4 linked regions of the Saccharomyces cerevisiae S288C genome follow. The protein of the gene in region 2 binds, or shares a complex with, the protein of the main gene of each other region. Each region holds a gene or a part of one and is shown on either strand. Other genes may lie near its edges. A codon is read from its position in the direction of its gene.

Evidence for each region.
Region 1: the proteins of LSM4 (region 2) and LSM1 are in contact, whole or in part, in a crystal structure (PDB 4M75), measured with the Saccharomyces cerevisiae proteins. Residues at the interface, in NP_011037.3 of Saccharomyces cerevisiae: Met1 (codon at 1,878), Leu2 (codon at 1,875), Pro3 (codon at 1,872), Leu6 (codon at 1,863), Glu18 (codon at 1,827), Lys20 (codon at 1,821), Trp35 (codon at 1,776), Met36 (codon at 1,773), Gly73 (codon at 1,662), Thr74 (codon at 1,659), Ile76 (codon at 1,653), Lys77 (codon at 1,650), Phe78 (codon at 1,647), Ile79 (codon at 1,644), Lys80 (codon at 1,641), Leu81 (codon at 1,638), Gln82 (codon at 1,635), Asp83 (codon at 1,632), Ile85 (codon at 1,626), Ile86 (codon at 1,623); in NP_012411.1 of Saccharomyces cerevisiae: Val47 (codon at 2,045), Val50 (codon at 2,036), Asp51 (codon at 2,033), Leu58 (codon at 2,012), Asp60 (codon at 2,006), Arg62 (codon at 2,000), Arg69 (codon at 1,979), Thr70 (codon at 1,976), Phe71 (codon at 1,973), Asp72 (codon at 1,970), Asn76 (codon at 1,958), Ile78 (codon at 1,952), Gln80 (codon at 1,946), Arg99 (codon at 1,889), Gly100 (codon at 1,886), Ile101 (codon at 1,883), Phe102 (codon at 1,880), Met103 (codon at 1,877), Ile104 (codon at 1,874), Arg105 (codon at 1,871), Glu107 (codon at 1,865), Asn108 (codon at 1,862), Ser169 (codon at 1,679).
Region 3: the proteins of LSM4 (region 2) and LSM8 are in contact, whole or in part, in a crystal structure (PDB 4M77), measured with the Saccharomyces cerevisiae proteins. Residues at the interface, in NP_011037.3 of Saccharomyces cerevisiae: Met1 (codon at 1,878), Leu2 (codon at 1,875), Pro3 (codon at 1,872), Leu6 (codon at 1,863), Leu7 (codon at 1,860), Lys20 (codon at 1,821), Trp35 (codon at 1,776), Met36 (codon at 1,773), Gly73 (codon at 1,662), Thr74 (codon at 1,659), Ile76 (codon at 1,653), Lys77 (codon at 1,650), Phe78 (codon at 1,647), Ile79 (codon at 1,644), Lys80 (codon at 1,641), Leu81 (codon at 1,638), Gln82 (codon at 1,635), Asp83 (codon at 1,632), Ile85 (codon at 1,626); in NP_012556.2 of Saccharomyces cerevisiae: Asn28 (codon at 1,906), Gly29 (codon at 1,903), Phe30 (codon at 1,900), Asp31 (codon at 1,897), Asn35 (codon at 1,885), Phe37 (codon at 1,879), Ile50 (codon at 1,840), Lys52 (codon at 1,834), Ala53 (codon at 1,831), Gln54 (codon at 1,828), Leu55 (codon at 1,825), Leu56 (codon at 1,822), Arg57 (codon at 1,819), Ser59 (codon at 1,813), Glu60 (codon at 1,810).
Region 4: the proteins of LSM4 (region 2) and LSM7 are in contact, whole or in part, in a crystal structure (PDB 4M78), measured with the Saccharomyces cerevisiae proteins. Residues at the interface, in NP_011037.3 of Saccharomyces cerevisiae: Glu23 (codon at 1,812), Asn31 (codon at 1,788), Val32 (codon at 1,785), Asp33 (codon at 1,782), Asn37 (codon at 1,770), Leu38 (codon at 1,767), Thr39 (codon at 1,764), Glu45 (codon at 1,746), Leu66 (codon at 1,683), Glu68 (codon at 1,677), Ile69 (codon at 1,674), Tyr70 (codon at 1,671), Ile71 (codon at 1,668), Arg72 (codon at 1,665), Phe75 (codon at 1,656); in NP_014252.2 of Saccharomyces cerevisiae: Ile27 (codon at 1,958), Leu28 (codon at 1,955), Lys32 (codon at 1,943), Tyr33 (codon at 1,940), Arg39 (codon at 1,922), Lys41 (codon at 1,916), Leu58 (codon at 1,865), Met59 (codon at 1,862), Gly96 (codon at 1,751), Thr97 (codon at 1,748), Leu99 (codon at 1,742), Val100 (codon at 1,739), Ser101 (codon at 1,736), Leu102 (codon at 1,733), Ser103 (codon at 1,730), Ser104 (codon at 1,727).

Annotation. Positions count from the first base shown.
Region 1 is NC_001142.9:185,462-189,987, forward strand, and holds LSM1 (Lsm1p), read right to left. Parts: upstream 2,184-4,526; coding exon 1,665-2,183; downstream 1-1,664. Other genes in the region: tRNA 1-methyladenosine methyltransferase subunit GCD14, read right to left, coding at 67-1,218; DUF5427 domain-containing protein MTC1, read right to left, coding at 2,543-3,979; ALB1 (Alb1p), read left to right, coding at 4,255-4,526. UniProt on the Saccharomyces cerevisiae protein: Component of the cytoplasmic LSM1-LSM7 complex which is involved in mRNA degradation by activating the decapping step.
Region 2 is NC_001137.3:384,601-389,109, reverse strand, and holds LSM4 (U6 snRNA complex subunit LSM4), read right to left. Parts: upstream 1,879-4,509; coding exon 1,315-1,878; downstream 1-1,314. Other genes in the region: TMN3 (Tmn3p), read left to right, coding at 1-1,178; SBF complex DNA-binding subunit SWI4, read left to right, coding at 3,234-4,509. UniProt on the Saccharomyces cerevisiae protein: Component of LSm protein complexes, which are involved in RNA processing and may function in a chaperone-like manner. Component of the cytoplasmic LSM1-LSM7 complex which is involved in mRNA degradation by activating the decapping step.
Region 3 is NC_001142.9:467,556-471,770, reverse strand, and holds LSM8 (U4/U6-U5 snRNP complex subunit LSM8), read right to left. Parts: upstream 1,988-4,215; coding exon 1,658-1,987; downstream 1-1,657. Other genes in the region: BNA1 (3-hydroxyanthranilate 3,4-dioxygenase), read left to right, coding at 100-633; methylthioribulose 1-phosphate dehydratase MDE1, read left to right, coding at 807-1,541; REC107 (Rec107p), read left to right, coding at 2,192-2,507, 2,588-3,216; TES1 (palmitoyl-CoA hydrolase), read left to right, coding at 3,490-4,215. UniProt on the Saccharomyces cerevisiae protein: Component of the nuclear LSM2-LSM8 complex, which is involved in spliceosome assembly. The LSM2-LSM8 complex plays a role in the biogenesis of the spliceosomal U4/U6-U5 tri-snRNP complex by accelerating PRP24-mediated annealing of U4/U6 di-snRNA.
Region 4 is NC_001146.8:348,533-353,071, reverse strand, and holds LSM7 (Sm-like protein LSM7), read right to left. Parts: upstream 2,133-4,539; coding exon 2,115-2,132; intron 2,019-2,114; coding exon 1,689-2,018; downstream 1-1,688. Other genes in the region: MPF1 (Mpf1p), read left to right, coding at 1-252; MFA2 (mating pheromone a), read right to left, coding at 542-658; YNL146W (uncharacterized protein), read right to left, coding at 1,055-1,357; YNL146C-A (uncharacterized protein), read left to right, coding at 1,492-1,686; ALF1 (Alf1p), read left to right, coding at 2,401-3,165; PGA2 (Pga2p), read left to right, coding at 3,316-3,705. UniProt on the Saccharomyces cerevisiae protein: Component of LSm protein complexes, which are involved in RNA processing and may function in a chaperone-like manner. Component of the cytoplasmic LSM1-LSM7 complex which is involved in mRNA degradation by activating the decapping step.

The sequences.
Region 1 (4,526 bases), on a different chromosome or scaffold from region 2:
ATTTGCTTTACATATTAAAAATTTCAAAAACATATAATTTAAGTATATAAGTAGTTAATCATTTAATTATTTTTCCGTGGATCGAAGAATTTCGTTAACTTTTTCATCATCTCTTGATCTATTCACAACTTTAAATGCAAAAGTCAAATATGAGGTATGGGATTTGATCTCAGCTTCCATCTTTGTGACCTCCTTCCATTTATAATTACTATCACCTTCCTTGATTCGAGAACCTTTGCCAAAAGGATTAAATTTGGCCTTTTCTGTTAATGGTACGCCATCCTCGTTTCTTTTTCCAACTTTTTCATCGTTAGAATCTATTGTATTGTTAAACATCCGCTTGCGTCTTTCTACACCCTGGAGTTTGTGCCTCTTAATATCTCTCAACCTTTCCAGGGCATCATTGAGTGATCTGACCATTTGTCTTCGACTTTCGTACTGTCTACCTTGAATTTCCACCATTTCAACATCCGTCCAGCCATATTTCTCTAATACATCCAATGTTTTGTCTACTTGCTCAATGCATGGGGAGAAGCAACACAATCCGACCTTTTCGTCTACGGAAATAACAGAATCCAGATGAGGTATAGCATCCCAGGGAGCCGGCAGATCTAAAAACACTACATTTGCATTCAATGAAGCGGCGGTTTCATTATTGCCAAATTCGTAAGATGTAGTGTCTCCCTTCTTTATAAGAAATCCACCTTGGCAAACATCCCGATGTGTAATCGTAACGTTATCATCAATAAGTCCATGCTCTTTGAATTCCTCTAATGCTTGTTCGTATCTTATGTGATGAAATTCAAAACTAAAAAGATGACCTACAGATCTTGCAAAAGCGTGCGAAAATGATCCTGAGCCTGTACCTGCCTCGATCACTCTGCTGTGAGGGCTACAATTCAACCTTTGCATGATGTAGGAAGAGTCGGGCGTATATACAATTTGAGTTCTGTGTGGTAACGACAAAGTCCACAATTCAGGAGTTGGTTGCAGAACATGGACGAATGCAAACTTATTTGAGCCCTTTGTTCTTATAGCAATTTGAGAACCATAAGGTTTACCTATGATATCCTTATGAGGAAATGAACCATAACGAGTATTGAATACCTCTTCGGAATGCATCCTTACCGGTTTGATGTTATCTCTAGAAACCCATATTAGAGTTAAATCGCCTTCCTTGATGAGGTCTTTGTAACCGGAAAAACAATTTGTTGACATTTCTAAATCTGCGTAATCTTAGCTACCTGATAGTCCCACCCCGATCTTATTCACATATATTTTCTATATACTTTAAACAGTTTTAAAAGTGATGAGCATGGAAAAAAATTCGTTGCTAACGGCATGGCATAAACAAAAAGCGAAAAAATTTTATAGATAATAATAAAGAAAAAGTATCAATAGCATGAGTGTTAATGTTATAACGAAGTGTAAGAGGAAAAAGAATGCTGCGCAAATACGTTACTTCATAAAAAAACTCAAGTACTGTATATATTTTACATTTAAATATATTAATTTATATACAAATACGGCCTCCTCTCTTGCATTTTTTTTATTGTTCCATCTCCAAAGGCAGTTGATTAAGTGTACGGATAGGTAAAACTGAATGTGGAAATTTTTGAGAGTTTACTCCAGGATATATGTTGGTAGTATTGTGTTTTTCTTTCTTAGTACATGTCAGATTTATGGAAATCGTAAACGATACCATGGCGGGCCATTTTTTTACCTTTGTGGGTTTCCTCTTTAAACCTTTTCTCATCATTTTTTTGCTTGGTCAGCCAAGCCTCCTTAAATGGTATGCGTTCCATGGCCTCAAGGGGTTGATCTTCTTTATCGATGTCTACTTCGCCTAACATGACAACATTTTCACCACGAATCATGAATATGCCGCGGTCTTCTTCAGCGTATTTGTTTTCTTCGCTAAAATATATTCTCTCCACGCAATCTTGAAGTATCAAATTTGCATATTGGTCAAAGGTTCTTAGTACACCGAATAGCATTCTTCCATCACGCAAAAGAACGAAGATTTTACGGTCTACTGAGCTTACAATAGCAGCGGTGGTAGTGAAGTTATACTGGTCGAGATATAAATCGGCCTCACCTTCTGAAATCTTCTTTGGGAAATTCTGCTGTTGTCGCTTCGCATCCTGATTGGACTGATTTCTGTCCTTGCTATTTGCAGACATTTTTGGTGAATTAATTCGATTCGAGGGCTGCTTTCTTTTATAGGTTTTGAAAGCGGAGCAAATGTTGGTATAACTCTACTGCAGCGTTGGCAATCCTGTTGAAAAGGAAAAGAAAATATAACTAAACTGTGTTACTTGTATCTTCACTAATATTTAATCAGCCCTTGGTCATACAGGCTTCCCCTAGATTGAAATACAGGTGCTGAACACCGTTGTATATTCACGACTTCCTCTATTTTTTTCATATTTTCCATTATTCAACGAACGCGGGTAACAAGTCGGCCGAATTTGAACCCACTCCTCTGCGCTTGTAACTTTATACATCATCGTTACGCTATAAATGTTATGTATTAAGTGTATCAAAGACCCATACGGTCAATGACATAATTCTGTGCCATGACCCCAAATGACAAGCTTAATCCATCTTCGATCCATTCCTTTACCCATTCACTAGGATCAATGATCTCATCGTCTTCGTCTTCGTCTTCACTTTCTTTTTGTTTCTTTTGATCGTATGACTTATTCCTCTCCTCACTTGCTGTTGATCCTGTTTTCTCCACGGATCCTTCTAGCCAATTGACCCATTTGACAGGGAATCCTTGTGATCTTGTTATGGTGGTAATATCGTTAGTTATGTCTTTCAATACAAGGGTGAAATTGAAATTGCCTGGCGTATTGGAGTCGGTCACTTGAAAGTCACCGTCGGCATCTTTTTGTTTTTGCGGAATGGCAATTGGTAAGATGGATATGAATAAATCACTGATTTTATTGCTGTTACTGCTAATAGAACTCCTATCGTCATCTGGAGTGGCATCAGCCTCTTTCTGTTGTTTCTGGTATTCCTCATGTGCAGTATTGAAGAGTTTGACTGCATTTTCCAGGTTTGCAAATGCCAGTTTCTCACCGTCTGTTACCTTGCCGTCGAATAGATTAAACTGTAATTTTTTTTTAGAGTTGCCTAACTCACCGTCTGCAACTGAAGGCTTTTTTTCCACAGGTGTAATTCCATTATTGTTAGGATGGCCCCATTCATCTACAAATATTCTGATTCCTCCCTCAACTTGTGAGCTTAGAACTTGATCAAACTTGCTTTCAATATTGTATTGTAATGAGGGATAGTTAACCAAATCATGGACTAGATGAATTCGCAGCACCTCTTCAGTCTCACCAACAACGATTTTCTGTAAGTTTCTGGCTATTTCAGTAATCGTGCTCGTGTTTATCTTTGAAGTCAAATCAAGCTGTTCTTGGGCAAGTCGGTTTTTGATCTGGGATGCTTGTTCTGCAGTTTTATTCCAAATACTCGATACCTTTGCGGATCCAGAGGAGGACCACCAGTTTGAAATAGAAGCAATTGGGTCATGCAATGGGGTCTCCTCCTCCTCCTCTTCTTCTTCTTCTTCTTCCTCCTCTTCTTCTTCTTTCTCCTGCTGCTGTGGTTCCTTTTCCTTTCCGTGAGCGTCCTGCTCGGAATTTTTGTTTTCTTTTGATTCTTCTACTTTTTCGTCTTGTGCTTTATTATTAACTGATTCACTGGGAGCCTTCTTTTCAACCCCTTTCTTGTCAGTTAAGCTTAAGTTACTCTTCTCCAACTCTTCTAAGAATTCAAAGATATCATCGTCACCTTTCTTTCCATCATTCCCGGTCTTGCCCGCCACAGAATTAGAACCTCCCTTAACGCCTTCTTGGCTACCCTTTACGTCAGTATTAACCATTTTCCCGCCATTCTTTGCTTCTGGCAAAGAATCTAAAAATTCAAATACGTCTTCAGCCTCAGAGTTCTTATTTTCAGACATTTTGCCCTGGTAGTATGTATGTTTTTAATCGATTGAGTCTAGTTAACCTGTCCCTTGTTCTATTCTTCACCGTCTCGTCCAACTTCCATCAAAGAACCAGAAACCAGAAAATCGCCGGTTTCTTCCACGCGTCAATCCGTTTGGAATGATCTCATCGCAAAATTTTTTTTCGCTAAAATTTTCATAGAGAGTATCAATATTAATATATGGTTATAACTTATGGCGGCATTAGTCGATGAGGTGCTTGCCGAAGAGACTAGCACAGCCAACCCATAATGCCTTCTAAAAACTCCATCAACAGACCTAAGCTGACTTCAAATTTGCACCACAAGGTGCACTCTTTAAATAAGAAAAGAGCTCAAAGAGAAAGAGCTGGTCTCTTGAAGCCAGCTAGATCCAGCGTAAATTCGAAATCTGGGGAAATAAAATCAGTAGCGTTGGACCTATACTTCCAAAACAAGAAGAACGAAAGTCAGAATTCCACTGCTGTGACATTACAAAATGCTTCATCTTCTCCGGCCTCCATCACCACGAGGACACTTTCCAA
Region 2 (4,509 bases):
TCATGTACACGGATAAAAGTAATTCAAAGTCCCCCAAATACATGATAAATATAGAAGGAATTGAAACAGAGGATGACCTGGACGATGACAAGTATGGTAAATACTCCGTTTACACGGTGGCGAAAGACTGGATACAAAATGGTAGACCAAATTTATTTGGTTTAAAAGTTTTAATCCTTCTGGTCTCATTTGGGGTGCAATTTTTATTTACCATAATTGGATCCTTAACGATATCATGTTCAATGAACAAATTGCATAATGTAAGAAACAGTGTGCTAACTATGGCCATTTTATTTTTCGTACTTGGAGCATTCATGGCATCATTCGTAGGGACAAGACTCAGTATGGTAACGAAAACGAAAAGAACCAAGGCCAATTACCTTGACGATAACAGATACCTCAAAGACTACAAGAAGTTTAGTCCCATTTTTACGATACTTTGTGGGTCCAGCTTACCTGGCATTGTAATGGTGAGCACATTTTTATTAAATAGTATTGTTTGGGCACATGATTCTACAAGTGCATTACCATTCAAGACTATTGTGTTTTTCATGAGCATTTATTTCATCGTCTGTATACCACTCAGCTTGTTTGGTGGTATTGTAGCTAATAATATACCTTTGCCTCAATATTGGTTGAGTGGAATTACTAAAGATGAAAGCAATAGCGATGGCAATGGATTATTTGTACCTAAATCACGAGCCAAGTTCAACCCGTTGGTTTACTGCGGCATTTATTTATGTGGTATTTTCCCCTTGTTAGTAATTTACGTGGAAATGCAATACGTTTACAAATCTCTCTGGTTGGAGAAAACTACATTTTATTATTTTTACGGATTCCTTTTTTTGAGTATCATACTATTATGCGTGTTAACTATGGAGATATCAATTATTGGAAGTTATTTATTAATGAGATTTTGCTTCGAAGATAAGGTGGTTCGCAACAATTGGAGATGGAAGTGCTTTGAAATGGGATTTAGCGGTGGTGTATATATGGAATTGTATTCGCTATATTACATTTTCGCAGTGCTAAACATCCATGGGTTTTCATCTATCTTAATTTCCATTTGTTATAGTTTAATCTTCAACGTAATGTGCAGTTTAGGGCTTGGCGCATTAAGTTACTTAACGGCTTCATGGTTTATAAATAAAATATACCACCAGAAAGTCAACCTGTAAACTAAAGGAAAGCTCGGTAATAAAAAGAAGAAAAGCTTTTTTTAAAGAAAACGGTAATCAACATTCACATACACACACAGTACATATGTACCAATATATTTATATATGTACATAATTATTATAATACAAAATTTGTTTAAAATTCGACCTTTTGTGGAGAAGAGCTGTTAAAATGATGTTGGACGGACCCACCTAAACCATTGTTCATATTTTGGTTGTTGCTATTGATACTGTTGATACTGTTGTTAATGTTACTGCTGTTGCTGTTGTTGTATTGACGGTTTTGAGAGTATGGACGGCGGTTGCTGTTGCCGTTATTATTATTTCTTCTGTTGTAGTTACCTCTATTGTTGTTTGAATCCCTATTGTTGTAGTATCTTTTATGCCCAGGGCCGTTACTATTAGAGTTATTGTTGGAGTTAATTTGCTGCTTGACCTTGTCAATTATATTATCTTGCAATTTGATAAACTTGATAAAAGTCCCTCTAATATAAATTTCGTTCAATTTTACGGCTTTACTGCTCTCAGCATTGTCTTCTGAATTAATTGCGCTTTCTTCACTATATTCGGTTACATTAGATAAAGTAAGGTTCATCCAGTTATCTACGTTGGTCAATATCCCTTGTATAATTTCACCGTTTTTCAATTCTATTTGCATTTGTTGTCCCTTCGCATTTGTTAAAAGATATAAAGGTAGCATTGAGAAAAAATATTCTATTGTGTTTCTTTTCAGTTCGAGTTGAAGATTTATCAGTTTTTCAACTCTGTTTTACTAATACTACTTCGTTAATTTACTTTTACGATTTCCTTCTTTACCGCTTCCATCATTAGGAAGGTCTATGATACTACGATTTCACGAAAGAAAGCTGCAATAATTGAACATCATTGCTACTCCGTAAAACATGATAGTAAGAGTGCTTATCACGTGACACGTGTGCGGCAAATTTCGTAATTGATGATCAAAATGCGTGTGGGCGGCTACAATGCGGAATTTGCCTTTTTCATAGTACAGGAAACTGGCGGTAAAGGAAAAGTAGTACTTTAAACTCATTTAAAATTACTTATCACTATGAATATCTTTAAATTATTGTTATACATAATAAACTATCTATTAAAAAAAAGATGCTACCCAATTCACGTTGTCCATGGTTATTTTAGAGCCTAAAAATAAAAGGCAGTAGGTTTAGAGGGACTTCAGTACAAGTAGATAACGAACGAAGCAATTACTCTGTGTACGGTGGCGGAAAAAATGAAATGTTACTTAAGAAGGAGGTAATATAAGTACATTACATTTCAACCGCATTGTGACTGCGTACTTTAAACGATAGGTGACTGCGGATCTTAGGTCGTTTAGCAGCATACGAAAATTAGTTTTACTAAACTAGACATCTAGTAAAAGGCTGTCGAAATCTCTCAATTTAAAGAGAACCTGCTACTGACTATAAATTTTGTCACTACAAATTATTGGTTTAATCTAGCCTTCATTATGGATACAATTACCTTCGGCGGCTAAAAACAACTTGATTTTGTTACCCGCGTTTGAAGTGACGCGTCACTAACCATGACGCGAAAGTTAATTATATTCAGCTCCCCGCCTGCTTATTTCCCGTTTAGGAAATAAATGGTTAACCTAACAAAAAAAAAAGAGGAACAAGGACTAAGAAGCACGTCAACGTGAAAAACGCACAAAAGATATTATAGTTATTGCCATCCTTTAGCATTGGTTTAGCATATCAACTAATTGACTAATATTTGCTGCTAAATTCAACTGGAAGCTTTTTTTTTTTTCGAGATAATAAAAAAAGAAACTCTTTAGTGTATTGTGTTATTTTTACTATTAATTGTTGTTACAGCAGAATCACATCTAGCATTGGTCGTCGCTTTTTCAAACGATTCTTCCTCCACTTACCCTTTGAAAAAAAGGTACATTATTTCACGTTATTTGATATATTGTCAACAATAATTGCTCTTTGCCGAAAATTAACTCTTCTTTCTTTCTCATTTCCCTTCTGTCCCTCTTGCGTAGTTCTAAAAGGTTGATTTATTCGAGAAATCATGCCATTTGATGTTTTGATATCAAACCAAAAAGATAATACCAATCACCAGAACATCACGCCAATATCAAAATCAGTTCTTTTGGCGCCTCATTCAAACCATCCAGTGATTGAAATAGCTACGTATTCAGAAACCGATGTATACGAATGCTATATACGTGGGTTTGAAACTAAAATAGTGATGAGAAGAACTAAAGATGATTGGATTAATATTACCCAGGTTTTCAAAATAGCTCAATTTTCGAAGACGAAAAGAACTAAAATACTGGAAAAGGAATCAAATGATATGCAACATGAAAAAGTTCAAGGTGGGTATGGTAGGTTTCAAGGTACTTGGATCCCACTGGATTCAGCGAAGTTTTTAGTCAATAAGTACGAAATAATTGACCCTGTGGTCAACTCCATCTTAACTTTTCAATTCGATCCAAATAACCCTCCACCAAAGAGAAGCAAAAATAGTATATTGAGGAAGACTTCGCCGGGAACGAAGATAACTTCTCCATCGAGCTACAATAAAACACCAAGAAAAAAGAACAGTAGTTCATCAACATCGGCTACAACTACAGCTGCGAATAAGAAAGGCAAGAAAAATGCATCGATCAACCAGCCGAATCCAAGTCCTTTACAAAACCTTGTTTTCCAAACTCCTCAACAGTTCCAAGTAAATTCATCAATGAATATAATGAACAATAATGATAACCACACCACGATGAATTTCAACAATGACACAAGACACAATTTAATAAATAATATTAGTAACAACAGCAATCAATCTACTATTATTCAACAACAAAAATCCATTCATGAAAACTCTTTCAATAATAATTATTCGGCAACTCAGAAACCTCTTCAATTTTTTCCAATTCCGACAAATTTACAAAACAAGAACGTTGCTCTGAATAACCCTAATAATAATGACAGTAATAGTTACAGCCATAACATCGACAATGTCATTAACAGCAGTAATAACAATAATAATGGCAATAATAATAACTTGATCATAGTTCCAGACGGACCTATGCAAAGCCAACAACAACAACAACATCATCATGAATATTTGACGAATAACTTCAATCATTCCATGATGGACTCCATTACAAATGGCAATAGTAAAAAAAGGAGGAAAAAGCTGAATCAATCTAATGAACAACAATTTTACAACCAGCAAGAAAAAATACAAAGGCATTTCAAATTAATGAAGCAACCCTTATTATGGCAATCCTTTCAAAATCCAAATGATCACCATAATGAGTACTGTGACAGTAACGGCAGCAACA
Region 3 (4,215 bases), on a different chromosome or scaffold from region 2:
AAAGTAAAAAAACGGACGTAAAAGATTCTTTCTTTATTCTTTTCACGACAGTCTACAAGTAACTGAAATAGCATACATTTACCAAAAAAATCGAAAAAAATGTTTAATACTACACCAATTAATATCGACAAATGGTTGAAGGAGAACGAAGGCCTTTTGAAACCACCGGTGAATAATTATTGCTTACATAAAGGGGGATTCACTGTGATGATTGTCGGTGGGCCTAATGAAAGAACCGGTTATCACATCAATCCAACTCCCGAATGGTTCTATCAAAAAAAAGGATCTATGCTTTTAAAGGTTGTGGATGAGACAGACGCTGAACCAAAGTTCATTGATATCATCATCAATGAAGGCGATTCATATTTATTGCCAGGAAATGTTCCTCACAGTCCTGTTCGGTTTGCTGATACTGTGGGTATTGTTGTGGAACAAGATAGGCCTGGGGGAGAAAACGATAAGATAAGGTGGTACTGTTCTCATTGTCGCCAAGTGGTCCACGAGAGTGAACTGCAAATGTTAGACTTAGGTACCCAAGTGAAAGAAGCCATTTTAGATTTTGAAAATGATGTCGAAAAGAGGACATGTTTCCATTGCAAGACGTTAAACTACGCACGCCCTCAATCTAATTAAGTATTAGAAGAGTTGTTAGTTGTACTTTTATAGCTCTCTTGTTACGTAAGATTGCGGCACTAAGATGCGGTGCCAATTTTTTTTTTTTTTCTCTTGATCAAAGCAGCTAGCTGTTCATCAAGATATGTAACGTTTTTAAGCACTGAACTAACAAGGGGAGCCAGTGAACGACTATGTCTTCACAAGATGTTCTGATACATTCAGATGATCCGTGCCATCCAGCAAATCTCATTTGCACGCTATGCAAGCAGTTTTTTCATAATAATTGGTGCACCGGAACTGGAGGTGGGATTTCAATAAAAGATCCTAACACGAATTATTATTATCTCGCCCCATCTGGGGTGCAGAAGGAGAAGATGATACCTGAGGATTTGTTTGTCATGGACGCTCAGACATTAGAGTATTTGCGCTCTCCCAAGCTTTACAAGCCAAGCGCATGTACTCCATTGTTCTTAGCGTGCTACCAAAAGAAAAATGCAGGTGCTATAATACATACACACTCCCAAAATGCTGTGATATGCTCCTTGCTATTTGGCGATGAGTTCAGGATTGCTAACATCGAACAAATCAAAGCAATTCCAAGCGGAAAGGTGGACCCTGTGACCAAGAAACCCATGGCGCTATCGTTTTTTGATACGCTGAAGATTCCCATCATTGAAAACATGGCGCATGAGGACGAGTTGATCGATGACTTGCACAAGACTTTTAAAGATTATCCAGACACATGCGCCGTAATTGTGAGGAGACATGGCATTTTTGTTTGGGGTCCGACAATCGATAAGGCCAAAATTTTCAACGAAGCCATCGATTATTTGATGGAGCTGGCCATAAAGATGTACCAAATGGGGATTCCTCCCGACTGTGGCATTGGCGAAGAGAAGAAGCATCTGAAGATGGCCAGTCCGTGACGGGTTAATGCTTAAATTTATTGTATGATTTATATACTTCTATACATGGTATTATTATTATTATTATTATTATTATTATTATTATTATTATTATTATTACTATTATTGCAACTATATTATTTTGTCTTTGATTCGTACACTTTTTCCCATATTACATGCTCATTTTCGATTTTATTCTTGGTGTCCTTTAGCATTGGGACCTTCTTTTCGTCTATAGGAGCTAGACTGTCATCATTTTCTGCATCTATGAGGCCAACAAGAGCAATCTCGCTGCCTCGAAGTAACTGTGCCTTGCAGATGAATTCCTTGCTTATGCGGTTGAAAACATTGGTTATGAATAGATTAGTATTTTTGTCGAAGCCGTTTAGGCTTGCTATGAGGCATTCGCCGTCAACTTTGATTATAACAACTCTTTTATTTAAGTAGTCTTTCAAGGTGGCTGACATGGTGCACGATAGTGTGTTCTTCTTGTATGGTGTACTGTATGCAGCTTGCTGGTCCATCTTATAAGAACCACGTAAGATTAGTTTTTTTTTTTCCCTTTACGCCATGATAGTATTTTCAGGACTTAAAGGGAAAATCAACAAGAACAGAAAGAAGGAAAACAAGCAAAACAAGGATACTGCAGACGTGTAGAAACATTTAGTAAAATGGTCGCTAGAGGTAGAACAGACGAGATATCTACAGATGTTTCAGAGGCTAATTCTGAACACTCGTTGATGATTACAGAAACATCATCACCGTTCAGATCTATATTCTCCCACAGTGGGAAAGTAGCGAATGCAGGCGCTTTAGAGGAATCGGACAAGCAGATACTGGAATGGGCAGGTAAACTGGAATTGGAGAGTATGGAGCTGAGGGAAAACTCTGACAAGCTAATTAAAGTTTTAAATGAAAATTCTAAGACATTATGTAAATCGCTAAACAAGTTTAACCAGCTACTGGAACAAGATGCTGCTACGAACGGTTCGTACCAACACAGTGCATACCCTCAAGTTTTTTATTCATTTTCTTCCAAAACACATTTACTAACAACTGTAGTATAGGAAACGTGAAAACCTTAATAAAGGATTTGGCTTCCCAGATTGAAAACCAACTGGACAAAGTGTCAACAGCAATGTTATCGAAAGGCGACGAGAAGAAGACAAAGTCGGATTCCAGCTACAGGCAGGTATTAGTCGAAGAAATAAGCAGGTATAATTCCAAGATAACGCGACACGTAACTAACAAGCAGCATGAGACGGAAAAGTCGATGAGGTGCACCCAGGAGATGCTCTTCAACGTCGGCAGCCAACTGGAGGACGTGCATAAAGTGCTCCTGTCTCTATCCAAAGACATGCACAGTCTACAAACCCGCCAGACTGCTCTAGAGATGGCGTTTCGAGAAAAGGCAGATCACGCCTACGATCGCCCGGATGTGTCTCTGAATGGCACCACACTCCTGCACGATATGGACGAAGCCCACGATAAGCAGCGTAAGAAGTCCGTGCCGCCACCAAGAATGATGGTCACAAGGTCCATGAAACGCAGAAGATCCAGCTCCCCAACCCTATCCACCAGCCAAAACCACAATAGCGAAGACAATGATGACGCTAGCCATCGGCTGAAGCGTGCGGCCAGGACCATTATTCCCTGGGAGGAACTAAGACCCGACACTCTGGAATCTGAGCTGTGAAACGGGCGTCCTGCTTTTTCATTCTACACAGGCATATGTAACAGCAGTGTATAGGCTATGTAAATCGGCCCAATCAACAAACAAGCGTTGCTTATTGGACTTGCTACTACCCCAACAAAGGAGAGAGCCTTTGATTGCATCCTCGGAAGAGACGGCATAAACACCGAGCCTCATCCTACAATGAAAAACCACGCCAGTTGGATATAAACCAGAAAAGGGTTTCAATTCAGTATCCACCATGAGCAAGACAAGATAAGACAAGATTGCATAAAAATGAGTGCTTCCAAAATGGCCATGTCCAACCTAGAGAAAATATTGGAACTGGTTCCTCTTTCGCCTACCAGTTTTGTCACAAAGTATCTGCCTGCCGCGCCCGTAGGGTCTAAGGGCACTTTTGGTGGAACGCTGGTATCACAATCGCTGCTGGCGTCATTGCATACTGTGCCATTGAACTTCTTCCCCACATCGCTACATTCGTATTTCATCAAGGGTGGTGATCCGCGGACCAAGATCACGTACCATGTGCAGAATCTGAGAAACGGTAGAAATTTCATCCATAAGCAGGTTAGTGCTTATCAGCACGACAAGTTGATATTTACGTCGATGATCTTATTTGCCGTGCAACGGTCCAAGGAGCACGACTCCTTGCAGCACTGGGAGACGATTCCAGGCCTGCAAGGTAAGCAGCCAGACCCTCATCGTTATGAAGAGGCCACTTCGCTTTTCCAGAAAGAAGTTCTGGACCCACAGAAATTGAGCAGGTATGCCTCATTGTCCGACAGGTTCCAAGACGCAACCTCGATGAGCAAGTATGTGGATGCGTTTCAATACGGAGTCATGGAGTACCAATTCCCCAAGGACATGTTCTACTCGGCAAGACACACCGACGAGCTGGATTATTTCGTCAAAGTGAGACCTCCCATCACTACCGTGGAGCACGCGGGCGACGAGTCTTCTTTACACAAGCATCATCCGTACAGGATCCCGAAGAGCATTACT
Region 4 (4,539 bases), on a different chromosome or scaffold from region 2:
TTAAGATGCATCAAACCGTTAACGGAAGACCACCCATGGGTAGGTAAGATTATTTTCAAACCGGCACTGCCACCAGCATTCGAAACGAATAATCCACCTATAAGAGTTTATAGTGGTGAAGATAGTACGGACTTGATGCACGTGAAAAACCATTATTTAAAGCCATACATAGTGGGATCCTGCGGGTTTTTGAAAACTGGCTCAAAACTTTTTCACTTTTACGATAGAACTAACGACCTTACGAATTTATGAAATATATGTGTTTTTAATGATTAAATAATAGTCAAAAATATAATTAAAAAAAAAATCGAATGTAATGGGTGGTTCATCTTTCATTTCCTGCGGAGGGAAAGGCGTATCAGAAAAGAAAAACATGAAAAAATCTGTTAAAGTGATAACTACAAATACATATGTATAAAAGTATGAAAAAGTATGGAAAGGGTGAGCTAATGATGAGAGAATTGGAATAAATTAGTTTGCCAGCAACACGTAATAAATGAAAGGGTAGATATTGATTTGACCTCTTGGTTGTCGTCAAAAATTAAGCGATAACACAGGCGGGATCCCAGAAGAGGCCCTTGATTATATAGTTGTCTTTCTTTTCAGAGGATTTATCCTTCTGAGTGGCTTGTGTGGAAGCAGTGGTGATCGGTTGCATTAAGGTTGGTAGTTATTGTTGTATGAAGATGATAGCTCGCTGGTGTCTCTAGTGATGTCAATGAACGGATGAACGACAGAAGAAGTGGATGGAAATAAAATGGTTATTTATCAGATATTTATATACAAAATTACGTGGTAATGCAACAGCTTTTTCCTCTCGCTTTGTTCTTTTTCCTCTGACATGCATGTTTCATTTTCGTTCCTTATGGCATCCATGTCATGTAAATTTCCCGAATAGGTAAATACATGCTTTTTTAACTTAAAAAATTATGGGCGTCCTATGCATGCACTTAACGGAAAAGGAAACTATCAATTAATTATGTAGTAGATGGTGTACCTATTATTGCATTAGTATTTGTTTCAAATGAAAACATGCTGCTTTAACTTTTCTAATTTATACCATAAACGGTATAGTAATGATGAAACTGAAAAATAAAAAAATAAACAGTCTGGTCTTATCGACCATGTTAACATCATCAAAATCCACCAAGTTTTCCGAGAAAATAGATGAGGGCCTGTTATTATTACTAACTGAGTTTGAATTCTTTTTGTAAAATCGTGGCAGTAGTTCTTGAAATGTCATTTTGAAGGACACTGAGTTTCGAAATATCAACATTATGAGTATGAATAAAAGTGTAAGGATAATGATCCTTTTGAGTTCCATGTGATGAGAAGTGGTATGCTTAGTATTGCTCATACTGGACAAATACGAAAGGAATCAGTAAATAATTAAGATTGTAGAGGGAGGGGTGTATGTGTATGCGGATACTTTTTTGATTTGGCAGAAGGAAAATTGGTATTGGCAGCTGTACAGTGACTCCCCTTATACAAATGATCTCAGTTTGTTTCGTTTTTCCTCATTCTCTGGCTTTAGACTTCAAATCGCGGTGTAAAAAAAATAGGACAAAACTATGTAGCGCATACTATGTCAGTCAGGTATTGAGAATATGTAAAGAAATGCCATACCGTGATTTGATTTTGTTTTCAACTGTAAGGAAGGGAGTTTATATGAGATTATATTATTAAACCTATTTTTGCATATATAGTACATCAGAACCTTCGGCGGAACTTAAAGAGACCAAAATAGTACCTCTTATGACGGTCAAACCTAGCTTTCTTGCGTTTTTAGAAATCAGTTCAGTGTTGTTTTCATCATCAGGATTAGACATATATTCTACTGTATCATCAAGTACCAAGTTCATCAGTTGATCATAGCCTTTTAGGACACCTATAACTAATTTACCACCCATTAATTTGACGCGAATTTTAGAATCTTTATACTTCGCTAAATCCAGAATAGCTTCTCTTTTAGGGCCTTCGAATTTTTTCCTTTGCTGTTGTGGTTTGTTCTCTGATTTCTTAGTTCAAAAAGGAAACATAGTTATTATAATGTTAGTATAAATAAGTCAAAAGGAAGGTTATTGCCACGGAAGAAAATAAGAAGTGAAACATACGGAGTGTTGCTGATGCATGTTTTTTTGGTTAATGTTCTGTGTAGTAAACAAAGTGCTGCTCTCAAATAACTTTCTTTTTTACTGTAGTAGTATACACGTACATGCGTATTCTTAATTGTCGTTTCCCAGTTGTCTGTTTTCAGCTACAGCTTTTTTCGCCTTTGTTCGAAAGAACAGTACTTTTTTCCGGCTCGCAGGGAAACGGCAGTTGAAGAAGACAAGCGACAAGAACATAGAGCAACGAATTCAAATAAAGAGATAGAAAAAAAAATTACATGGCAAAACTATGGTTAGAGTTGTCATAGAGAGTGAATTGGTCCGTACAGAAAAGGAATTACCAAATTCGCTTAAATTAAGGCAGTTCAAGGACCGATTGTACCATGTTACCGGAGTGGAACCAGAGGATATGGAAATAGTTGTGAAAAGACAGTACGACAACAAGGAGATATATAGTACTAAAAAGGGGGGTGCCTATTCAAATGAGGATGAAGATGCCAACTTCCTAAAAGGAGAGGAGGAGCTTATTGTGGTTGTTACAGACTCTAATGCCCAATCAATCTCTAACCAGCTGGCCACGCAAGCGGAAGGAATCCCCTCAATGGAAGTAATTAGCGAGGAGGATTATTTGCGAAGGGATCAATCCGTATTACGATGGAAGATGGCTCACGGCTATGGTAGGTTTAATGCTGCACAGCAGAGCCAGCGCGCTGCGCTGGCAAAGCAGGACGAAGCATATGCCCGAGAGCAATTAACGGCGGCTATCGGCCGCCACTGTCGTGTCACAGTAGACGGGAGCGCTCCACGTGAGGCCATTTTACGGTACGTAGGACCACTACCGTTGGACGTGATGGGCACATGGTGCGGTGTGGAATTCCCGGAAGCCGCAGGCAAAAACGATGGGCGCATAAATGGGGTAACACTGTTTGGGCCTGTGGCGCCGGGTCACGGATCGTTTGTGCGTCCGCGGGCTGTGGAAATTCTATCAAAAGACGAAGAATCCGCCGAGGTGGAAGACGTCCATGATGACGTGGAGAGCGATGATGAAATTTGAATTTGTGCAGAATTAGCGCGGTGGCGGTTTAGTTAGTGATCTCCATCCGATGTCAACATATTATTATTTGTAGTTGTATTTATGTGCACTCGGCGGTTTGTATGAGGAAAAGATGTTATGAAGAGAAAAACTGCCGAGTAATTGAAAGAGATGTCTGAAGTAGCGGAAACATGGGTGGATACCTGGATGGCAAAACTAGTCAACTATGACTACAAGCACTTTATAAGATTGGTGATAATTGTAGGTGGTTATTTACTCTTAAGAAATATCGCATCCAGGGAATTGGCGAAGAAGCAGTTGGCTGCCCAAGTGGAAAAGGACAAACGAGACAAAGAGGAAAAGAGATCAAAAGACCTGATCGACAAGCCAGATGATGCTGCAACAGCAGAAACAACTTCTTTCGGTTGGGGTAAGAAAACTAGAAGAAGAGTTAAAAGACAACAGGAGTTGTTTGAAAACGCTTTGGAAGAGGCTAAGAGAAGAAACCAAGGGTTGGACCCAGATAGTGATGCTGATATTGAGGAACTACTGGAAGAATAGGCTCTCTGTGTATGTATGGGTTCCTCTTTGTCATTGTGACATTGTTTTGTTTTTAGTTTTTCTATAGTTTTCTGATAAAATAGTCTAACCATTACCGATGTTGCTACTTGCATCATTCTCAACGTCTAATCAACTTGCGTTTGCGTCTCAAATTGAGTTTGTAGGTTACGTGTCGCCTTAATAGTCAGCAAATGCCGACGTTTGTGAGACGGATAACGACTGCGATGATTCCCATTCCGCATGAATGATGCAATTCACAATTCAAACACGATATCAAACGACTAAGCCGTGAATTAACGGCTAGAATGCAAAAGAAAATGGGTAAGAATTGATTTATGTAGATACGGCAAGACGATACTTTCCTTAAACAGCCGAGAAACGAAAAGGTTTAAAGAGATGTACTGTGACGTAGAAGAGAAAGGATTACGCAGCAATGGCTTGTCCAAATTTCGTAGTCTAGCCAATTGAAAATATAAATTATTTTCAATACTAATGGGCGGCTTTCGAACAAATGTCACATTGCAGAGGTGATCGTTCAAAGTAATTAGCAGTCATGAACGAGATCTTCTTTTCTCTTATGAAGAAAAAGGCTGATGGTCGACAAGAAAAATCTCAATACAATGGCTACCATTCCACAAAGAAGTGCCTCGCTAGGTGTAACTCAATGAACTGAAATTGCTTTCGTCAGTGGTTTCAACTCTTGTGCGGCCGCATGAAAAATGAAGAGAAATTTGAAAAAATCTCAAAGAAGAAAATAGTTTCCTCATCGCAGCAACCTATAGAAAACAACACGACAGAAAGATATTGTAACTTGATAGTACCGAGCATATATAC